2 linked regions of the Arabidopsis thaliana genome follow. The protein of the gene in region 1 purifies or fractionates together with the protein of each later gene. This does not show direct contact. Each region holds a gene or a part of one and is shown on either strand. Other genes may lie near its edges.

What was found.
Region 2: the proteins of Cpn60beta3 (region 1) and PAF1 fractionate together in Arabidopsis thaliana (co-fractionation; one large-scale study listed by BioGRID). This does not show direct contact.

The regions. Positions count from the first base shown.
Region 1 is NC_003076.8:22,871,898-22,878,212, reverse strand, and holds Cpn60beta3 (TCP-1/cpn60 chaperonin family protein), read right to left. Parts: upstream 4,546-6,315; 5' UTR 4,342-4,545; exon of another isoform or gene 4,305-4,341; intron 4,169-4,304; 5' UTR 4,156-4,168; coding exon 3,952-4,155; intron 3,877-3,951; coding exon 3,751-3,876; intron 3,663-3,750; coding exon 3,525-3,662; intron 3,436-3,524; coding exon 3,340-3,435; intron 3,252-3,339; coding exon 3,009-3,251; intron 2,921-3,008; coding exon 2,686-2,920; intron 2,586-2,685; coding exon 2,416-2,585; intron 2,339-2,415; coding exon 2,261-2,338; intron 2,174-2,260; coding exon 2,102-2,173; intron 2,022-2,101; coding exon 1,917-2,021; intron 1,817-1,916; coding exon 1,724-1,816; intron 1,645-1,723; coding exon 1,552-1,644; intron 1,476-1,551; coding exon 1,349-1,475; intron 1,261-1,348; coding exon 1,247-1,260; 3' UTR 806-1,246; downstream 1-805. Other genes in the region: GulLO4 (D-arabinono-1,4-lactone oxidase family protein), read right to left, coding at 4,793-5,508, 5,593-5,694, 5,791-6,315. UniProt on the Arabidopsis thaliana protein: Involved in protein assisted folding.
Region 2 is NC_003076.8:17,158,481-17,162,966, reverse strand, and holds PAF1 (proteasome alpha subunit F1), read left to right. Parts: upstream 1-1,810; 5' UTR 1,811-1,991; coding exon 1,992-2,342; intron 2,343-3,211; coding exon 3,212-3,697; 3' UTR 3,698-3,923; downstream 3,924-4,486.

The sequences.
Region 1 (6,315 bases):
AACGATTAAATTCGTTTAAATAGAAGAAAATATGTGGCTAGAATCGTTTCATGTCTTTGCAAAACTAGTATAACTTTACTTGCAGTTTTTAAAGTATGATTAACTTTGAAAATGCTCTTAAAAGTGTATAATTTTTTTTCCCATCAAATCTTTTTGGTAGGTTGAACAAGAAAACAAAAGTTAGTAAGGAAATTTCAAGGAAGACAACTAAGTAGCTATCTCTTGCGTTTGCGTAGGTTCATCATCAACTTTAAAACTCTAAATTTGGTTTACAAAAAAAAAGTTATGAACAAACCCGAAAAAACAACAAAAGGTTACGAAAGAGTGTGTGTCAGAGACTCAGAGTTATAGTGGAACCCACTCGAAGCTTTTAAAGTAAGATTGACTTTGAAAATGCTCTTAGAAAATTTCTCTCCTCGATTATTACTTTGTATATATTGAAGAATAAACCAAAAAGTTGTAAAGAAATTACTAGGAAGATCACTTACTTTACTATCTTTCTTCAGTTTGCTGACAACTCTGAAACTCAACTAATGTGGTTTTATAAAAAAAAAAGATCGATGAACGAACAAGAAATAAAGATTATGATGTGGATTGTTAGTATAAGCACTAGAAATGGTTGATTTTTACAAATTCTCCAAATTTCATATATATAAAAACATATCATCAATAATAGTTCTGTTAAATTTAGTATAGATCATACAAAATGAAAAAAACTTCTCAGCTTTACAGATGTTTACTTGGTAGTCTTTTTAATTAATGTTTGGGGAACATTTTAAAGTTTTAAAGTAATAGACAATATACTCCACATTATGTCATAGTCTATGCTCAGGTAAAGAGAATTGTTGAACTAATTAAATAGATTACAATTTTAAAGTATCAAGATATTGGCTATGGAGGCCACAAAAAACCACAAACAAAGTAGTAATTTAGTATTGTGCTTGGTTGTTGGCTTGTTGCTGCTCATGATTTTGTGCATATCCTCGTTCGTTTTAATTTGAAATAAAGAAAATGATACTAACTAAATCAAGTCTATTGAGCACTGCAAACTGTGTCTCTTTAGTGAAGTTGTCATATTGAAAAACTTGATCTTGAATCGGAGAACACAGAACCAAATTATATGTTTCTTCAGGTCACTGGAAAAACATATAATTTACATTGGCTTAAAGAAGTTTCAGATCAGGAAGTGAAGAACTTGGTCGTGGCTTTTGCTTCATCAGGGACTACTCTGTTCTCAATTGCCAACTTAGAAGCCGTAACCTGAAAACCGACAGAGAAATTTTGTAAGAATAAAGTTGCAGATTTTGTTAATGATTCAGAGGATTCAAGAAGAAGAACTAAGAGATACCTGAATTGTCCATAGGGTTACCAGCAGGAGCTGCTGATTCAGGCTCCTTGATCTCCACAACAACACAATCAGACATCAAGAATGTCTTTGCCACAGATGAAGCATGCTCTAGGCAACATCTCACAACCTTGAAAAGAAGAAAACTCGGTTAGCACCCGAAACAGCAGATTTCAATATGTGAAAAAGTAAGGAACTTTGCTCACTTTGGTTGGATCAATGATTCCTGCAGCCATGAGATCTTCGTATTTGCCAGTTGCAGCATTGTAACCATGTTTAGGGTTGTCACTAGAAAGAACCTGTCAACCGAAAAAAGCCATTGACTTAGTTTCTATATCAAAAGACTCAAACTTGCATTCTTTTAAGGAGATTGATTACCTTCTCACTGACAACGCTGCCATTGACACCAGCGTTCTTGGCGATTAACTTCAGTGGGTAGCTCAATGCTTTCTTAACAATGTCAGCTCCAACCTGGAGGTTAAGATGAATTGTAAAATGGCGTTATAACCCGCAGACGGCAAACTCCTCATTCATGTTATCTTTCTCTGCTGTGCAACTCTTCTGGACTAACCTTTTCTTCATCGTTTGCTAGAGTCTCTTTAATAGCGTCCACTTTCGATGCAAGTCTTAGCAGAGTACATCCTCCGCCAACAACAATACCTTCTTCCACAGCAGCCTAATTAAAAGGTCCAACAACTTAGTCTCTACCATATGGATGGAAACATTTCAAGGCTCTTTGCTTAGAGATGATGTTACCTTTGTAGCATTAAGAGCATCTTCAACTCTTAATTTCTTCTCCTTAAGCTCTGTCTCAGTTTGTGCTCCAACCTAAAGAATATAAAACGTTTAGATTATTCTTCTTATTACCTTAAGCTACGCTTTTTGCATCATGTGATTTGTTTCTTAGTATCTCACCTGAATTACAGCAACACCGCCTGATAATTTAGCAATTCTCTCATTAAGCTTTTCCTTTTCATAGTCTTGTTCAGCAGCCTACACAAACCCAAAGACTTAATCACCGTAACATAAAACCAATTTATTGGGACATTTCAATGTTTTTTGAGATGTACCTCGATAAGATTCTTGATCTGTTCAACTCTCTTCTTCACAACTTCTTCAGTACTTCCATCACCAACTATCGTTGTAGTATCTTTTGTGAGAACCACTTTACCAGCATTACCCAAAACTTCTGGTCCAACTTTCTCCAACTGAAGTCCAACTTCTTCCCTAATCACAGTAGCTACAAAGAGAAAAACAAACACAGCAACTTGAGAAACTAAACATGCTTTTTTTTAATATAGAAGCAATAATGTAAAGAACACTTAGTATATTGGTCTAACCTCCTGTAAGCGCAGCAATGTCATCAAGGTACTGGCTTTTCCTCTCTCCAAATCCAGGAGCTTTCAAAGCAGCAACTTTTATTGTCCCACGAAGCTTGTTAACAACAAGAGTCGCTAATGGCTCTTGCTCAATATCTTCAGCAATGATCAAAAGCGGGTATCCACCTTTAATCGCATCTTCCAGAATGCTAATAATATCTCTAGCATTTGTTATCTTTTTGTCAACAAGAAACAACTACAAAAGCAAGAAGAGACATATAGTCAAAAAATACTGCGGTTTTTTATCAGCTATTAAGATTTAACTGTATAAACAATAATAATACCTTGCAGTTCTCATATTCTGCACACATTTTCTCACTGTCGGTGACAAAGTAAGGAGAGATATAACCACGATCAAATTGCATTCCTTCAACAACGTAAAGGCTGTTCTCAGCGCTTTTGCCTTCCTCTAGAGTGACAACACCTTTACGACCAACTTTTGCCATTGCTTCTGCAATCATATTGCCTACTTCGTAATTGTTTCCTGCACTAACTGCTGCAACATCTGCTAGTTCACTGTCTTCAACCTGCAATCCAGAAAAGAGCTACATGATCAAGAATCCTCTAAAGCACATGAAAAGAGCTAGATTAAGAATCTAATTAAGTCAACAATACCTCCTTTGACATTTTCTTCAACTCAGCCACAAGAGCTTTGGTGGTTTTCTCAATACCTCTGGTAATCAAAACAGGATTTGCACCAGCAGCTACCACCTACACAATTCAATCCACATCATATCACAACAACAACAAAAAACACTGGTTGTTTCAAATTCACAAAAGAAAGACAATAAATTACAAACCTTTACACCTTCAGCAATAAGACCTTGAGCAAGAACAACAGAAGTCGTTGTTCCATCACCAGCTAAGTCATTAGTCTTGGAAGCAGCTTGTCTCACTAGCTTAGCACCAATGTTCTCAACTGGATCCTCAAGCTCAACCTAAACAAACAGCAAAAGCTTTTCAAAATCTACAAATCGATTTCACACCTGATTACACATTAGACACAACAAGAGATAACACCGTTACCTCTCTAGCGACCGTAACACCATCATTAACGATTCTAGGGGAACCGTATTTGCTCTCTAGAACAACATTCCTGCCTTTAGGACCTAAAGTAACCCCAACTAAATCCGCAAGTTTATTCACACCAGCCTACATAATGAAATGATATAAGTTATTCAATAAAGAACTAGAAGTCACAAAATCACCGAAATAGAATAGACTCACTTGAAGCTTCTTAATCGCAGTCCCGTCCTTATTGAAATGCAATTGCTTAGCCGCATATATTTTAGGAAACCTTGCTTTCCTCTGAGCAATACTCTGAGTCCTTCCAAAAGAGCTTGATGAGATCGAAACAAAAGATGACAATCGATTCGAAGGAGGAGCCAAAGATGAACCCATTGACGACGTTGCGCTAAAGGTTGATGCCATGGTTTTTCACTCTCTGCAAAAACAGATCAAAATCAAAACTTTATAGCTTGAATGAATCTAATAAACCCTAAAGACACAAATCAAAGTAAAACTTTGTAATCATCGACACAAATCAAAACAAGGGTATCTGAAAGCAAACAACTTTTTACCTAAACTTTGATCGAAATGATTCAACTATACACTTACTTAGAAGCTAGCGATCAAGAGATGGTTCAAGGGTTTTAGCGACTGAGAGAGGTTTTCTTGTGAAGAAGATGAAAGTCGATTTATGCGATTGTAAAGTTATGATTTTTGTTTAATTTATTCGATACAAAGTGTGTTTGGTTGCATAGTGCAAACGGACTGGTGAAGTTCGAGGATCGCGTCTTCAAAGGTTTCAGGTTAAGTCTGAGCCGTTGGATCAACTGAATTTGGAAGAATCTGGAACACTTAAACCCTAAACCCACCTACTCTACTCTCTTCACGTGCGAGTGACACTTTGATTAACTACTCATTGTTTGACACGTGTCACGAATTCAATACAACGTCGTTTTCGCTTGTCAATTATGAACAGAGACTGCTCTGTTCTCTTAAAGCAGAGAGAGGAATGAGGTTTTTGATATATAACAGAACTGAGGACCAAAACTTTGATTAGGATTTAGGAACTTACACGAGTACAAACTCTAGCTTCTCTATAAACTTTACCTGGTCTACATAAATAACCTTTGGTAGGAGCACAATGAGAATCCTCTGAACAAATACATAGTCCCTCCAATGCACATCCTTGTTTCACAATCGTCACGTTTCCTTTTAAACCTAGAATCTGATCAGTCCATTCAGTGGAAAACAATCCTAAAGAATCAAATTTCTCTTTTACTTTTAAAAACGCGTTTGCGTTCTTGTATTTTCTAATGGCACCATCAAACGCTAGGTTCCTATTCTTCCCCCAATGTGGTAACGCATTGTATTTGAATATCGCCATTTGCTCGATTTCTTCAATGTAATCCTCGTATAGACGCGGTGCCAATGGATCATTTTTGCTTCTGTAGTAAGTTAGGTCAAAATCTAAAGCTTTTTCTTCTTTTCCGAGAAATGCTAGAGAGGATGTGACATAGCGGATGAGAATACCGTTGCTGCCTTCAAGTACGCATAAAGATTTCGGTTCGATCTTCACAAGTGCTTTGATGTCGTTGATGAAACTTTTGACATTTGTGAGAGAAACACTGAATGTTGTTTGGTGAAAGAATTGGCCTTTTATCCGTGGATCCCATGGACAAGCCGTGATTAGTCCGTCTTGACGACTGTCTAGACATGAACCTGACGACATCATATGGTTTTGCATTCCGATGACCGGATAGCCTGTGAATATTAGGCCTGTCCATGGAAATTACTAGTGAAAGTTTTGTATAATCTTATATCGAAACAATCAACAAATGTATAAGCAAGTAAAAGAAATACCGTTATTAGTCACACCGTATGACATTAAAAACATAGACGACGATACTAGCTTTGCCCTCACACACTTCATGTTTGCATCTTCAAGTGACTCTTCACTCTCCTCTGCATGACATGAAGCAAAAGTATATATATAAGAAACATTATAGCTATGCAAATCAAAAATATTGGTATTAATTATCTTGAGAAATAAAGATTTACCTAAGGATCTATCTATGGCTAACACTAAAGAGAGTTGTGAACGGAATGGGAAAAATTCGAACAAGCCATCTCCCGAAGTATTAAGCGGAACTCGGCCATCCATGCGATACACCACTTTTCCTTGGCTCGGTAACCATAAGAAATCCGCAAACTCGTGTCTTTCGCCAAAACTCACTGCTTGATCTCCGAAATCCGAATCGTTTCTCATAACATAATTTAACGATCTTTTGAACATTGGTTGCAATTCGAAAGTTACTTGAGAGATAACACCAAGAACACCTAGAGAAACTTTGGCTGCGCGAAATTCCTCCGGATCTATAGTCTCGCTAAGAACCTGAACCTTTACATACCCATCAGAAGCCAAACCGGGACTCACCAATCTTATCTCGGTCACGTAATCATGAACCGCACTTCCTTTACCCCATAAAGAACTTCCGTGAGCACCTGTCCCCATCATTCCTCCAACCGTAAGTCCCCACCAATACGGTGCGTATGGCAAAGCCAGATCAAACTTAGCTGCTTCTT
Region 2 (4,486 bases), 5.7 Mb from region 1:
GTCATTAGATGCTTGAATCAGGAAAACTTACAAAATTGAAAACAAATCTAGAAAGTAATTATAAGTGAAAACATATAAAAACGTTATAAATCATAGTATATGCTAACTTTAACTAATCTATATAATAAATAAATTAAAATTTTGAAAACAAATCATCAAATATCAAATAAAGAATAATTCTTGGGTTCACTTCTAGGGGGTGAACCTAATTTATTCACCCCCTCTTTAATAACAAATCAATATTTGCCATGTTATTTGATTAAAAAAACTTAAAACAATTAATATTATCAAAATAAAATAATTAAAATAAATCATTAAAACCCCACTTTTTTGTAAATCCAAACCGATATATAATCTCGTTTAATTACCAAATCTAAGCCCTAATTCTCCTTTATAAACCCAAACCGCCATTTAGACTTATTTAATCGTTAAAAAACAAACCATAATCGTATTTTCTAAACCCAAACCGACATTTAACCTAGTTTAATTGTAAAATCTAAATATGTTTATAAGCCCAAACTAATATTTAACATCGTATAATCATAAAATCTAAACCCTAATCGTATTTTGTAAACCCAAACCGATATTTAACCTCGTTTAATCATAAAATCTAAACTCTCATTTTTTCTAATAAACTCAAACCGATACATAATTTTCTTTTAGTGGCAAATTAGATTTAATAGTTAAATTAATTTTTTATTATTATTACTAGTTTGTTAGTTGGGTTTAAAAGTTTCATCAAAGGAGATTTCATAATTGAATAAGGTAAGTGACGATTTTAAAATAGCTTGTTTTTAGAAGTTTTTCGTTCTAGGTTTGTTCTTATTGCATGTAGCTAGTTAGCGTCATGAACTAGTAACTGATCTTAGGGAGATAAAACCACAAAAGTGCTGAATTTATTTACTTGATCTAACATACATAGACTAGAAACTACGTTATAACAATACAAAAGCTTAGTTGTAGAGCTTTGTTTGTGGAGGTAAAGGAACTTGATCTCATTGGGTGATTGATTTTGTGGCTACAACAAAAATCTGAGTAGTTAAGTTTTTATCGATGCTACAAAATTCAATCCCCTAGTCATCTGTGATTCCAGTTTAAGGAACTTGAGCTAAACTGAATATGCTTTTGTTAATCTTCTTGTATGAGACAATATGAACTTTCGCGATATTCTTAAAGACTCAACGATTAATTATCATACAGTTGATAATAATAGTCGAAAATAACAATCGTTACCAATCCACTTCTATATTATGTATAAAATGATTAAAACTATATTATAAAACAAATAATAATTCAAATTTAAATAAATATTTAAAAATCAAAATTCTATTAGTGTTGTACAAGCACATGTTATGATCTACTTCATCACTATATTCGTCAAAACTAAAAATGTATGACTTTTCAGCTGTCATAAAAGTTTAGAAATATACAATAAATTAATTTTAAGATATCAATTTTAAAAATGATAAATGTTCTAAAATTTTAAATAGGATCAATCACAGAGACTTTTTTTTTGTAACAATTCAAATTATATGATTACTAATAACAAAATCGCAAAGTTTTATATTTATAAAATTAATTCATTTTTATTTAGTTTCAAATAATATACAAGAATATTCAAGCTAGTGTGCTCTGTTTTGTCTAATGTTTTTTTTTTTACTGAGAACTATTGACCAAACTCTTTTGTACATATTTAAAGATTCTTAAACAATTTCACATTTCATCAAAAAAAAAAAAAAGAATATACAAGGATTATCCTGTATAAAAACATAGGCCTAAAGTCTGTATAAAACATATGCCTAAAGTCTTAGCCCAATAAGCTAGATACCGAGCCAATACAAAGCCCAGAATTTAATAGAAGCCCATTAAATCGAGAGAGAGATCGAGAGCATCCATGGCTTGAAGGAAAAGAAAAGTTTTGTTTCTGAACTTTCGTCTCTATAAACCCTTTCGACGACGAGTGAAGAAGAAAGCGAGACGAAGAAGCAAAGATGTTCAGAAACCAATACGACACAGATGTTACGACATGGAGTCCAACAGGTCGTTTATTCCAAGTGGAATACGCCATGGAAGCAGTGAAGCAAGGATCTGCAGCAATTGGACTCAGATCTCGTTCTCATGTCGTTCTCGCTTGTGTTAACAAAGCTCAATCGGAGCTTTCTTCGCATCAGAGGAAGATCTTTAAAGTCGATGACCATATCGGTGTTGCAATCGCTGGTCTCACAGCCGACGGTCGTGTATTGTCTCGGTATATGAGATCGGAATCGATTAATCACTCTTTTACTTATGAGTCTCCTCTTCCTGTTGGTCGTCTCGTTGTTCATCTTGCTGATAAAGCTCAGGTTAGGCTTTTGTAGTTTGTTGATTGAGATTTGGTGGAATTTGGAATCGATTACGCTTGGTTTTGTGTGATTCGGTGATAAGTGTGTTGTAATTGTTAATTGAAATTTGAGGAATTTGGAATTCGATTACACTGTGAATCACTGAGCTCAAATTTAGCCATTAGCTTCTTGACTTTGTGCTTAGGGTTTGATCTGAGCTGATTAGGATTCTAAATTGCATTAAATAAGAGTTTTCTTAATTTATCATAGCAGAAACTTGAATCTTGTTTAGTGAAATTGTTTGCATGTTTGTTGTTACTGCTGCATAATCTTGTATTTAAAAGTTTAACCATAACTAAGAGCTTAACAATAGGATTCTAAAAGAAAGAGATTTGTGTTTCTTCTGGTGCTTTTGCTTGTTTCTGCAGTTTTTATTTGGAGTTATTGATTTTCAGTACCTCTAAGAAGTGAATTCCGCTCTTTGTTTTGCATCGTTCTCACCACTATGCACTTATCTTACCAGTCAATTACTCCTGCTAGGTGCTTGTTCGACATCTTTTCTGTAATTATGTGCTACTTCTCACTTTGTTTTTCCACCTATCTAATGGTTTCTTAAGTTAGCTGTTTTATCCACATCTGCATAAATACTTTTCAAAGCCATTGGGAAGAGCTCCCATATATTATATGTGTTTATAAAAGGAAGGGTCTTGTATTTCCTCATTGTCAAACTTTATTAGTTGGTTTACTCTTTTGTAGGAGAGATTTTACTTGACAGGTCCAACTTAAGTTACATTATTGTCATATTTCTTGTCTTTACCAAGGGTTTTTTTTGTTATATTTCTTGATCTGGAAAAGGAAATATTTATGTGTATGTTTGCCTTTATGAACAGGTCTGTACCCAACGATCATGGAAACGACCCTATGGTGTTGGTTTGCTGGTAGGTGGATTGGATGAGTCTGGAGCCCACCTTTACTACAACTGTCCCAGCGGAAACTACTTCGAGTACCAAGCTTTTGCTATTGGATCCCGTTCCCAAGCAGCAAAGACCTATCTGGAACGCAGGTTTGAGAGCTTTGGGGATTCTTCTAGAGAAGATCTGATCAAAGATGCTATTTTGGCTGTTAGGGAGACATTGCAAGGGGAAACACTGAAGAGTTCTCTCTGCACAGTCGCTATTCTAGGAGTCGATGAACCGTTCCACTTCCTGGACCAGGAAGCAATACAGAAAGTGATCGACACATTTGAGAAAGTGCCAGAGGAAGAGGAAGGAGAAGGCGAGGCTGGTGAGGGTGAGGCCGAAGCTGCCGAGGCTGCACCAGCAGAACGAGGTGGTGGTGTTGCAGGTGACCAAGACGTGGCTCCAATGGAAATGTAAGGCTTGTGTGTGTAACGCTGGAACTATTTTATTTCGATGTTAGTTGGATTTTTACTTTGCAAAATGGCTGCGGGTTTAGATTATATGCTTGAGAAGTTGAAACCATTTCGTCATTTAAACTCAATAGCTGCCATCAAGACTTTCTCGTATTCTGGTCTTTTGGTTTAAATCTGAAATCTGTTCACGACTTCCTATCTCTTTGGTTCTGCAATTCCTTGCTAAAAAAGTGTGTAGTGTCATCTAACTAGGGCTGTCAAGCAGGCCAAGCCAGCCTTGTTAGGCCTGCCCTGCAGAGGGTTTTAACAAAAAAATTGACCAGCCTCAAGTTTCCTTCGAAGGTTAATCTAAAATTTGTTAACCCAAAGAACTCCAGAATTTAATGTTAAATCGTAAATTATGATAAAATCATTAGCTCGACGTCATTTAGTCTAATAGAAAACATAAGTGGCCCCCTACATGGTGACGACTACGAAAGACTTTGGATAATGGGAACCATGTAAACCAGACCCATTGACTTTGCCGTCTCTCTTAATCATTTGCTTTATCCAGCATCCGTTCTCGTATATACACCAAATTAACCATCAAAGGAAAAAAAAATGATCAAGAGTTTATCATTGCATCTAAGAGCTAGTGGATCATATAAAATTGAATTAACAACGAACAGTCATGTTTTCGGTGTCAAAAGACATTGTGAATTAAACATACGAAACTACGTCAAATCGTTTAAGGCAATTGGAAAACACAAGATCTTTTACGGGTTCAGGTGTCTCGTTGTAAGATTATCCTACA